Linked DNA regions of Coturnix japonica. The protein of the gene in region 1 interacts with the protein of each later gene in a biochemical or structural test. Links are inferred from orthologs where the notes say so. Each region holds a gene or a part of one and is shown in the gene's direction. Other genes may lie near its edges. The genes, in order: FOXA2, OTX2 and HOXA5.

The links.
Region 2: the proteins of FOXA2 (region 1) and OTX2 form a complex in vitro, tested with the Homo sapiens proteins (2 studies listed by BioGRID). The link is inferred for Coturnix japonica from reciprocal best matches to the Homo sapiens genes FOXA2 and OTX2.
Region 3: the proteins of FOXA2 (region 1) and HOXA5 form a complex in vitro, tested with the Homo sapiens proteins (2 studies listed by BioGRID). The link is inferred for Coturnix japonica from reciprocal best matches to the Homo sapiens genes FOXA2 and HOXA5.

The regions. Positions count from the first base shown.
Region 1 is NC_029518.1:4,401,493-4,405,236, reverse strand, and holds the start of FOXA2 (hepatocyte nuclear factor 3-beta), read left to right. Parts: upstream 1-1,437; 5' UTR 1,438-1,927; coding exon 1,928-2,014; intron 2,015-2,616; coding exon 2,617-3,744. UniProt on the Homo sapiens protein: Transcription factor that is involved in embryonic development, establishment of tissue-specific gene expression and regulation of gene expression in differentiated tissues.
Region 2 is NC_029520.1:50,710,114-50,713,857, forward strand, and holds the start of OTX2 (homeobox protein OTX2), read left to right. Parts: upstream 1-1,098; 5' UTR 1,099-1,228; intron 1,229-1,485; 5' UTR 1,486-1,568; intron 1,569-3,744. UniProt on the Homo sapiens protein: Transcription factor probably involved in the development of the brain and the sense organs. Can bind to the bicoid/BCD target sequence (BTS): 5'-TCTAATCCC-3'.
Region 3 is NC_029517.1:29,863,476-29,867,219, reverse strand, and holds the start of HOXA5 (homeobox protein Hox-A5), read left to right. Parts: upstream 1-1,394; 5' UTR 1,395-1,598; coding exon 1,599-2,160; intron 2,161-3,041; coding exon 3,042-3,292; 3' UTR 3,293-3,744. UniProt on the Homo sapiens protein: Sequence-specific transcription factor which is part of a developmental regulatory system that provides cells with specific positional identities on the anterior-posterior axis. Also binds to its own promoter.

The DNA.
Region 1 (3,744 bases):
AAAAAGATGTTTCTCTACAAGGCAAGACTATCTTCTTCACTGCTTCCTTCCCTCTTCTCTTAAGGTGTTGATTTTATTGGGCTGCCCAAGGGTAGCGGCATCACAGTTTGACTAGTGAAATAAGGGATGGGATGTGGAAGACCCCACGGGATGCCAACGGGGCTCACATTTAGGACCACACGGTGCTGGTACAGCGGGAAGACTCGGCCTTACCCATCACATATGATCGCTGGTGATGCTCCCAAGTGATGCACTGGAGGGTGACCTCCGCCGTCGGGGGGACCCCCGGGTACAGGCGGGGGACAGGCGGGGTGCCCCTCCACCCCCGGCCCTCCGGTACCGGGGACAGCAGGCGACAGGGGGCGCCGCGCCACCGCTCTTAGACCTCGGGACAGCCCTGCCCGGCCTCCCACCCCTCCACCCCACCCCCCCTTTTTTGGGGGCAAATCCCCCTTTTCCCGGCGCGTCCCCGCCCTGAGGGCAGCTCCCCTGGGGTCTCTCCCTTCTCCTCCAGCCAGCCCTCATCTCCCCTAAATATGGGCGGGAGGAGGCGGGCTGCTTCTATCCCCGCAGCTATCGCGATAGGAGCCAGTTTCGTTTGGAGACGGCTCCCGAAGGCGTTGGGGCGAAGGGAAAAGCCCTCCGGCGAAGCCCCCCGGCTGTTGGGTTTGTGTTAATGTTTAAAAGCTCCCGTTAACCTCGCCAAGCTGTGCTGGGGTTAATGCCGGGAGAGAACCCAAATAAATAACCGAGGGAAAAGGTCGGTGCCGCGCCGCCCCGCCTGGCGCCCGGGCAGGTAGGTACAGGGCGCACGGCACGGGGAGGGCGGCAGCTCCGTGTCCCCCACTGGGCGGGGGGGGAGGCAACACTGCGGGGCCGGGAGGTGTCGGACACCCCAGGGGGCTGCGCTTCCTCCCTGGAAGGAGGGAAGGAGAGAAGGAAGGAGGGAGGGACGGAGGCAGCCGCTCCCCGACGGCTACACTCGAGCAGCGTCCGTGGATCCGTCCGTGGGTGCGGAGCGACGCTTCCCCGACGGCGCCCATCGGGCCCCGCTCTGGCTGCGTGTTCCCCGACGGCGCTGAGCCCGGCCCCGCCGCGCTCCCCTCTCCCAGCTCCCGCCTTCCCCTGCCCTTCCTGTTTGTTTTAGTTACGAAATTGTTGTAGGTACCTGAGGCAGAGCCGCGGGAAGGCATGAGGCAGAGCCGGGCCACGGCCGGGAGGAAGGTGGCCTGAGGCTGAGCAGCCGCGGGGAGAAAGGTGAGTGTGGCTCGGGGGGCTGCGGCCGTCGGAGGGGGATCGGGGCACCGCTCTGTTTGGGCTTTGCGAGGGGACACCTTCCATCGGAGTGCGGCTGGAATGGGGGTCCCGTAGGAGCCCTCCTGTTGAGGGGGGGTGCGGGGGGAGACGCGGGGTGGTTCCGGGAGTCGCTCCGGGGTGCGGGTCGGGAGCCGCGGAGCAGCCGCTCCCGCCTAGGTGTGAGCTGATTATTCAAATGGGCAGCCGAGGACCTGGGGATTGGAGGCTCGCCTGGCCGCTCCGTGCTATATCACTCGGGCACCCACGTCACTGCAGCACTTGTACTCCTCTTCCTCCCTCCTCCTCTTCTTCCTCCCTCCTCCCTCCTCCCTCCTCCTCCTCCTCCTCCTCCTCCTCCTCCTCCGGCTCCTCCATCGCCTCCGGGCGACTCTTCACCGCGAAGCTCTGCGGAAACCCACCCAAGGAGCGGCGGCGAAAAAAAACCCCGGCCCCGGCGGTGCCCCCTCCCTTCCTCCCTCCCTCCTCTTCCTCCTCCTCCAGCGGCTCCGACGGAGGGAGCGCGGCAGAGGGGAGGGAGGGCTGGCGATTTTTTTTTTTTTTTGGGGGGGGGGATTGCTCTCTCTCTCTCTCTGCGTCGTCGTTTGTTGTGTCTGTTAAATTTTAAACTGCCATGCACTCCACTTCCAGTATGCTGGGAGCGGTGAAAATGGAAGGCCATGAGCACACGGACTGGAGCAACTACTACGGGGAGCCCGAGGTAAGGGGGTGGGGGGGGTGTTGGAAGCCGGGCGGCCCGATCCCCGCGCCGGGATACTGGGGGGAAACCTCAACTTTGTCGCTAAATATTCTCGAGGCGCTGAACTGCGGCTGGGGGACAGCGGGGGCGACGGGGGCAGCGGGGCCGCCCCCCCCAGCCCCCGGGAGAGAGCGGGGCTGCCGGGCAGCGAGTCGCGTTTTTTCCTTTCCCCCTACCCTCCCCCCCACCCCCCACCCGAGGTATTTTTCTCTCTTTGCTCGGGATTGTCTCTTTTCCTCCAGCTTGGATCCTCTGAGCTCGGTGAGATCCCGACTTTTTCAATATCTAAATTTGGGCTTTTTTCTTTCTTTCTTTTCTTTCTTTCGGTTTTTTTTTCTTTTTTTTTTTTTTCTTTTTTCTTTCTTTTTTTTTTTTTTTCCGTTAATGAGCGATTCAACACCCCCCATCTCCCGCCGATGCCCCCCGGGGGTTTAACCCTTCCCACCCCGCAGCTCCAGAGCTTCAGGAACTCCCTTGGGCTGGGCTGGGGGTGCCTTACTTGGGAACTGCTTTCATTTCCAATCCCCCCAAATCTCCCTTATCTTTCTCGTTTGTCTATGCAGAGCTACTCCTCGGTGAGCAACATGAACTCGGGGCTGGGCTCCATGAACACCATGAACACCTACATGACCATGTCGGCCATGAGCACCACAGCCAACATGACAGCAGCCACCTCCATGAACATGTCCTACGCCAACACGGGCATGAGCCCTTCACTCGCCGGCATGTCCCCAGGTGCGGGGGCCATGGCCGGCATGGGCTCGGCTGGCGTGGCAGGGATGGGTGCCCACCTGAGCCCCAGCATGAGCCCCATGGGAGGCCAAGCGGGCTCTATGAACGCCCTGGCCCCTTACACCAACATGAATTCTATGAGCCCCATCTATGGGCAATCCAACCTCAACCGCTCGCGGGACCCCAAGACGTACCGGCGGAGCTACACTCACGCCAAGCCCCCTTACTCCTACATCTCGCTCATCACCATGGCCATCCAGCAGTCACCCAACAAGATGCTGACCCTGAGCGAGATCTACCAGTGGATCATGGACCTCTTCCCCTTCTACCGCCAGAACCAACAGCGCTGGCAGAACAGCATCCGCCACTCACTTTCCTTCAACGACTGCTTCCTCAAGGTGCCCCGCTCCCCAGATAAGCCAGGCAAAGGCTCCTTCTGGACGCTGCACCCCGACTCGGGCAACATGTTTGAAAACGGCTGCTACCTGCGGCGCCAGAAACGCTTCAAGTGTGAGAAGCAGCTGGCGACCAAGGACGGCGGTGGGGGCAAGAAGGGGCCGGGGCAGCCCCCCAGCCAACCCCTAGGGGAGGGCAGCTCCTCGGGGGGCTCCGAGGGCTCAGCGGGTGCTGAGTCACCAGCGAGCGCCTCACCGTGCCGGGACCACAAGCGCGCCCTGGCCGAGCTGAAGGGTGCGGCGGCAGGGCCGAGCCCCGGGGAGCCATCAGCGGCCTCTCCAGCACAGCACCTGCTGGCCCCGCCACACGCCGGGCTTCCTCATGACGCCCACCTCAAGCCCGAGCACCACTACGCCTTCAACCACCCGTTCTCCATCAACAACCTGATGTCGTCCTCCGAGCAGCAGCACCACCACCACCCTCACCACCACCACCACCCCTCGCACAAAATGGACCTCAAGGCCTACGAGCAGGTGATGCACTACTCGGGCTACGCCTCACCC
Region 2 (3,744 bases), on another chromosome or scaffold:
CTCTAAACCCAAGGACAACCGTACTGGGTTGTGCACAACGGGGATAGCCACGGAGAGGCGAATTAATCGCCGTCCCTTCATTAACATAGGTCACCCCACGAAAAAGACGAAGCCGCTGCGTTTTGGCACGAGAGAGGAAAGTGCGCGCAAAGCGGGGCTGAGCGCTCCGCTCCCTTCCCAAGCGCTGCCGCTCCGCGCAGCTCCGCGGTCACATTGCTTCCTCGGCCCGAGCTGGGAGCTGCGCAGATCCTGGCCCTCCTCCCACCACTCCTTTACTGAGCAGAGTTTATTTCTGTAAAAATTCTGACGCATCCCGCTTTGAAAATGCGGCGCAGCGCAAGTCTCGTTCTGCGGCTCCATCCAGAGCTGTATCTCAGATGTATCCTGTGTATTCATGTATTTTAGTATGAGTATGCGGGTTTTTTTTTGTGTGTGTGTATTCCTGTTTATTTCATGACTGCTTGTATTTATCTGTACATATACATATGTTTATATTACACCTATACACACTCACACACATGCCTGTGCCCCCCAGGACAGACCGGGTCCCCTTCTCTCACCCTCTCCCATCCCAAACACTCTCAGCTCTGCTCAGGGGGTGCTCTCTGGGGGGGTCCCGGCTCTGGGACACCCCTATACCTCTCTCCATTACCCCAAGAGGTGGGATCTCCCCTCTTCTTTGCTCTCCTCCAGCCCCACACTAAGCCAAAGGCTCTGCCATACGTCCCAGTCCACCCCCTCAAAAAACGTTTACTTCCATATTTTAATACCTTTTGTTGTTTCTATTATCCTCCCGCCCCCATAAGCTTCCTACAGTCCCCTCTTTCCTTCCTTAAACACTCTCCGCTTAAAGTCCATCACATTCACTTGCACAATGACTTCACACGTTGCGATCCACAAATGTTATATTTTTAAACCGAGCATCTCCTTTTAATGGACATTCTCGTGTCATTTCGGCGGCTGTTATTTCTCTCCTGATTGTCCCCCCGGTCCAGCAGCGGCCCTGTTTTTTCCTCCCCCTGTTGTGTGTTTTTATTATTTTCCCCCTGGCTTAGATGTGTCAATCACTCTCTCCCTGCCATTGGTTGGAGAGTTTGCGTCAAAAAGTTGCCAGAGAGGCGCTTTCTCAGCAAAGCTCCCCGAGAGAGGTAGAGACCTCAGCTCCAACGCACCCTGCCACTATTATTAAAAATAAAATCACTCGACCAACTCCGGCACCGCCAGCGCTGTACGTACCGAGCGCAGCCCCCGAGCATCCCCGCATCCCTCTCCGCAACCGTCCGCCCCCTCTCTCCCCCCCCCCCCCCCCCTTCTATTTATTCCCCCCTTATTTCTTCTTCTTTTTCAAACATTTTTTTCCCCCCTCTCTCTCTGTCCTCTCCCCCTTTCTCCCCCCACCCCACCCCTCCCCTCAACCTCAGTGTCGTGGGCATGTGCATGCGGCGCGCTCCCTAACCTCCCGCTTTGTGCTTTTCTCTCTCCCAGCTCAACCCCAGCCCTGAATTTGGAGAGGACCAGACCGGCGGCTCTGCCCCCCGAGCCCCCCAGCCCTGCCCGCGGCCCCGCAGGTAAGTGGGTGCACCTCGCGTGGGGCACCGCTCCTAAACACAACGAAGATGAGAGAGGAAGCGGGTGGTGATAGCAAATTAGTACGCTTATTTTATTATGACTAATGTTGGTTTTAAGTGCTTTTACGCCGGGAGCTGAGGGCAGAAGAGAAGGGTGCGGGATACGGGGATGCGGCGGTGCCGCTCGCTGCTCCGGGGATACCCCGAGCTGCCCTGGGGAGGCCGGACCGGGCCGGGCCGAGCGGAGTGAGGCTGCCCCGAAGGCTGAAACATTCCCCAAAGGCCCAAATGCGGGAGCGGAGGAGGGGGACAGGCGATTCCCACGGCTCGCCCTTAAGCCCCGCTTTCCACCGTGGGCTCGCCGCGCGTTTCCTCGCTTCGTATTATTCCCCCCCTCCTGGTCCTTTGGTCCTTTGGCCTTTCATTCTTCCCCGGCCCCAAGGTGGACTTGGAAAATGAGAAAGAACCGGGAATATATATATTTTTCTTCTTCTTCTTCTTCTTCTTTTTTCCTCTTTTTTTTCTTCTTTTTTTCCCCACCCCCGACTGGAACTCCGCTCATCTCGCCGTGGAGACTCCGCGAAGTAATTTAGCCGAGGTGCGCTGAGCACCCGCGGAGCAGCGCTGAGAGCAGCGGGGGTTGGCATCCTCGGGGCTTTGGGGCTACGAACCCCGATGCGGGCAAAACGGATTGGGGTGAACAGATCCCGGTCCAAGAGCGACTGGGGCTGTTTTGTATCTCCCCGTTTAATTTATTTTAATTATTATGATTATTATTTGGCCGTGGGAAAGCGTTTCCCAAAGGCTCCTTGCCCCTTAGTAGTACCGCGCTGACAAAGAGAAAGTCGGGAAAGTCCTTGTGAAGGAGCCCAAGTTTCGTTAGGGAGAAAATCTTCCGTGGGGCCGAGATCGGATCGGGGTTCTGGTGCTGTGAGAAGTTGGGATTTGTTATTTGTTTCGTTAGAAGAATAAAGAAGGAGAAAGAAAGAAAGAAAAAGAGAGGGGAGAAAGAAGGAAGGGAGAGAGAGAGAAGAGAGAGGGGAAGAGAGAAAGAAGAAAGAGGGGAAGAGAGAAAGAAAGAGAGAGAAAGAAAGAGAGAAAGAGAGAAAGAGAGAAAGAGAGAAAAGAAAGAAAAGAGAGAAAGAGAGAGAGAAAGAGAGAAAGAGAGAAAGAAAGAAAGAAAGAAAGAAAGAAAGAAAGAAAGAAAGAAAGAAAGAAAGAAAGAAAGAAAGAAAGAAAGAAAGANAAAGAAAGAAAGAAAGAAAGAAAGAAAGAAAGAAAGAAAGAAAGAAAGAAAGAAAGAAAGAAAGAAAGAAAGAAAGAAAGAAAGAAACAGAAGGAAAAAATATAAAGAGAGAAAATAAGAAAAGGAAAGAAGAGGAAAAAAACCCAACTCAATTAACAACGCACTTATAAAAATGCGATTGTGGAGGCAGGAATGGGACATCGGCCCCGAGTTGAGGTCGCTCCCGACTGCCCCGTTCGTTCTCCGGAGCTGCAACCGCTCGGCAGAGCCGGGATGAGACACCGCATCCGTTGCGGATATATTTATGATGAGGGATATCAACCTTCCAACCCCTCCATTTCGGAAAATAAGATAAAGAAATATGAATCAAAGCGATGGAAATCATGCGGGCAGGGTGCGAGGGGAGCTTTTTCTCGCCGACCCCAGCCCCAATTCCCCTTCGTCCCGCAGCTCTGCGCCCCAATCCCCGGAGCTTCCCCCCGACCCCCGCGGTGCCCGGGGCGCAGTGTGCGCTCACGGCCCCTCCGTGCATCCATCAGCGGGGCCGGGGCCGGCGGCCCGTAATTAGGGAGCGTGTGCCGCCCGGATTATCTCGTTAGTTTATCAAGAAAACATTTATTATAATTAATTCTCGGACGGGGTAATTATTATTGAGCGAGGGCAGAGCAACTGGTAGGAGAGCGGGGGGGAGGAGGGGGAAAGGTGACAGATTGCCGAGCGGAGCCGTTGCTCCGCGGGCTGCGGCGTTGCGCGGCCGCGGGGGCTCCGCGGGGCTCCGAGTTCACGGGGACGGAGCGTTTTTAATTGCAATGAATTTATTGTTGATTATTATTATTATTTTAGGGCCGCGTTTTCTGTTGTTATTGTTGTTGTTCGTTGGCTCGTTTGCAAGCGTTGCACCCGTATTAATGTTGCTCTGCAGTTTAACGC
Region 3 (3,744 bases), on another chromosome or scaffold:
GGGCCGCCTCGATACGATGTGTTGGGGATTTTATGGTCCGTAGAGGAGGGGGGGAAAAGTTTTACACGAGTAGAAGATATTTAAATAGAAAAAAAAAGCAGAAAAAAATCACTGTAAAAAAATCGTTGTATAAAAAACTGGGTATAAGCTTGAGGATAAGGCGAAAATGAATTGCTGGGAGATTTCTAAATGCCACTAAACTGACCCCAATCTGCACTACTGATACCGAGTAAGAGCTCGGTGATAAACTTTAGGGCGAGAGAGATGAGAGGCTTTGAAAGGGCGAATTTCTGTGGTTCCCGTTGAGCTCGCACTGAGATTTCAGTGAGCTCAGCTCTGCACTGAATTATGGACTTCATTTCTCGGGGATTCAAGGATTTGGGGTCCGTCTTTCTTTCTTTTCTCTTTATCTATCTGTCTATCTTTCTTTTTTGTTTTCTTTCCCATCTTTTGAACTAAAAGGGAAGTGTCGGTCATATTAACTCGGGGATATTCTTCCCCTCTTTTGTGGTACCTTAATTTACATCCGCATTTCCTAACACTGGAAGAGAAAAAAAAAAAAAAAAGGGGGAAAAAAAAAAAAAGGAGAGAAAAAAATATGTTTTAAAGAGAAATAGCTGCAATAACATGGTTCCATTTCGGGGTCTGTATAAATAACAGAAGCGCAGCGATTGATATATACGTTCTATCTCTATATGTTGTATTGTTTGCGTGTGAATGTGCTGTGAGGCTGTGCACAAACCCACTCGTGTGCGCACCGAGGCTCTTTTGTTCGAGAGGCAGCGCAATTTGGGCTACCGCTCCTCAACATTTCCCAAGCCAGAGCTCCAAAATCCTACTGCAAAATGGCCACCATCGGATTTATGTTTCCTCTTTTTTTTTGCTGGGAGGCAGAAAAGTAGCACCGACACCGACCGCCTGCGATCCTCCCGCTAGCTCGGGAAGCGCCGCACGGCTCTCATCCCTCAGAGCTACCTGCCAACGGCGGAACGGCGGGACCCGCCTGCCTCTCGAAACAACCGCCACGGGAAAAACGGTACAAACCCCAAAATACATATAATAACGCGGATCGTGCGAGGGACGTGACCGCCTCCACCACCGGCCACGGAGCTCGAGGCAATCGCGGCACATGAGCCTCACCCTGCGGAGCCGGAGCGGCGCTCCCGGCTCTACCCCGGGGCTGCCCCGCCGCCCGCCCGCTCCCCGCTCCCTCCGCCGCCGCCGTCGGGGGCCGTCACCCCGCGCCGACCCCTCTCCTCTCCGTTATCCCCCGCTTTGCCAGCGGGTGGCGCTCGAAGCCGGCGGACGGGAGGCGGCGGTGGCGGATGCGCGCGGCGGCGGCGCGCCCCGGGCCGCCCGCGCCCTCCCAGCTCCCCCACCAGTGCACGAGTTTACCTCTAGAGGTCATCAGGCAGGATTTACGACTGGACAACAAAAGCACGTGATTTGAAGCCGTACCCCATATTTGGGTGCCTACGTAGGAGGGAACCAAGTACATGTCCCAGTCATTTCCATAATTCATCATAAATTGTGCAAGGGTGCTATAGACGCACAAAACGACCAAGAGCCACAAATCAAGCACACATATCAAAAAACAAATGAGCTCTTATTTTGTAAACTCATTTTGCGGTCGCTATCCAAATGGCCCGGACTACCAGTTACATAATTATGGAGATCACAGCTCGGTGAGCGAGCAATACAGGGACTCCGCCAGCATGCACTCCGGCAGGTACGGATACGGCTACAATGGCATGGACCTCAGCGTCGGGCGCTCCGCTTCCACCCACTTTGGTGCCAGCGAGAGAGCCCGCACTTACCCGGCCAACAGCACCTCTGCCTCGACAGAGCCCAGGTACAGCCAGTCCGCGGCCGCTTCCCACTCGCCTCCCCCCGACCCCCTGCCCTGCACCGCCGTGGCCGCTTCGCCCGTCAGCGAGAGTCACCACGGGGTGAAAAACTCCCTGGGCAACTCCAGCAGCACTTCGTCCAATTCCAGCAGCAGCACGCACATCAGCAGGGACGGGGTTGGCACCTCGTCCGGCACCGAGGAAGACACTCCGGCGAGCAGCGAGCAGGCAAGTGCCCCGAGCGACCAAAGCACAGCACAGCCTTCCCAGCCCCAGATCTACCCTTGGATGCGAAAGCTGCACATAAGTCATGGTAAAGCAAATACCCTCTTCTTTCTTTATTTCTCTGGAGGAAAAGCAGGATTGAATATAAAGCCGGTGTCCGCACCGAGCAAGGTCGGGGAGAGGGGGGAGAGGAAGGAGGGCGTGGGAGAGCGCAGCCCCCGCTCCCTGAGCGGGAGCTCCCCCCGGAGATAGGCAGCGCCCGGCCCCGACCCGGCTCCCGGCCGGCTCGCGGGGAGCGTGGGGCGGCGGGGAGCCTTCCCCAGAGCGGGACCCGCTGCCGGCTCTGCCCTTCCGGGGGGACCCTCCGCCGGGAACGGCGCTGCCGACCCTATTTGCGTAGCCGAGCCGAATCGAAAAGAGAATAGCAGGGGGCGAGGAGGGCAGCTCTCGCCGCCGGGAAGGCGCGGGGAGGAGGAGGGGGAGCACCCCCCTGGCCGCAGGGAGCGGGCGGAGGGGGGTGCGGAGAGCCCCGGCCCCGCTACCTGCAGCGCCCGGCCCGCCGGGGAGAGCCGGGGGTTCGCCGCCTCCCGGAGCTCCGCCGTGGGAACGGGCTGCGCGCCTCCGCCTCGCTCCGCGGCCCCGAGAGCCTGGCGTGCACCGCAGGCGTCTTCCGCAGAGCCGAGCCTGGGGAAGAGAGAGGGGGATTCGCCTCGAAAACGCGCTAAAATCTCTTTTGTAGAAAGAACGAAACCGAAATCCGAGCGGAAACTTAGCACGGCCGCCAGGTCCCCCTCCCCCCAAAGGCTTTTCTAAAGGGGCAGGAGGGGGAAACTTGTTGAGCATTTCTCCAGCCCAGCAACAAAACCGAGCTGGGCTGAGAATAACGGTCCTGGTGGCTCGGAGCTGCAGGGAGACAAGAGGGCTCCAGGTCGCTGCTGGGAATCTAAACGCTGTACTTTTCTCTTCCAGACAACATAGGGGGACCAGAAGGGAAAAGGGCTCGGACTGCTTACACCCGGTATCAGACCTTGGAGCTGGAAAAGGAATTTCACTTCAATAGATACCTGACCCGCAGAAGAAGGATTGAAATAGCACATGCTCTTTGCCTCTCAGAGAGACAAATAAAGATCTGGTTCCAAAACAGGAGAATGAAATGGAAAAAGGATAATAAGCTGAAAAGTATGAGCATGGCAGCTGCAGGGGGGGCATTCCGTCCCTAAGCGTTTGATCAATTAAAAGTACTGAGCAGTATTAGCTGACCCTGCGTCTCATGTCAGTACTAAGTTGACTTTCTGAAACTTCCTTGTGTTACTTCTGTGAAGAAACCCCGTTCTTGTCGCCCTTATTCATCTTTTAATCATGAGCCTGTTTATTACCATTCTCTCGCGTGTATAAGTAGATCTGCTTTTATCGTACATTTCTTTGTCTTGAATGGCTTTGTCTTGGAAAAAAAAAATAATAGATGTTTTAACTTATTTATATGAAGCGAGCTGTGTTACTTGAAGTAACTGTTACAAAAAAAAAAAAAAGGCAAAAGAAAAAAAAGAAAAAAAATAATAAAAAGGGAAAAAAAAAAGGGAGAGAAAGAGAGAAAGAAACCCTGCCCCGGTTTAGTACAAATGTTATGTGTTGCACTCAACCTGCTTAACTGTGCATGTGTGGTCAAGTGTTA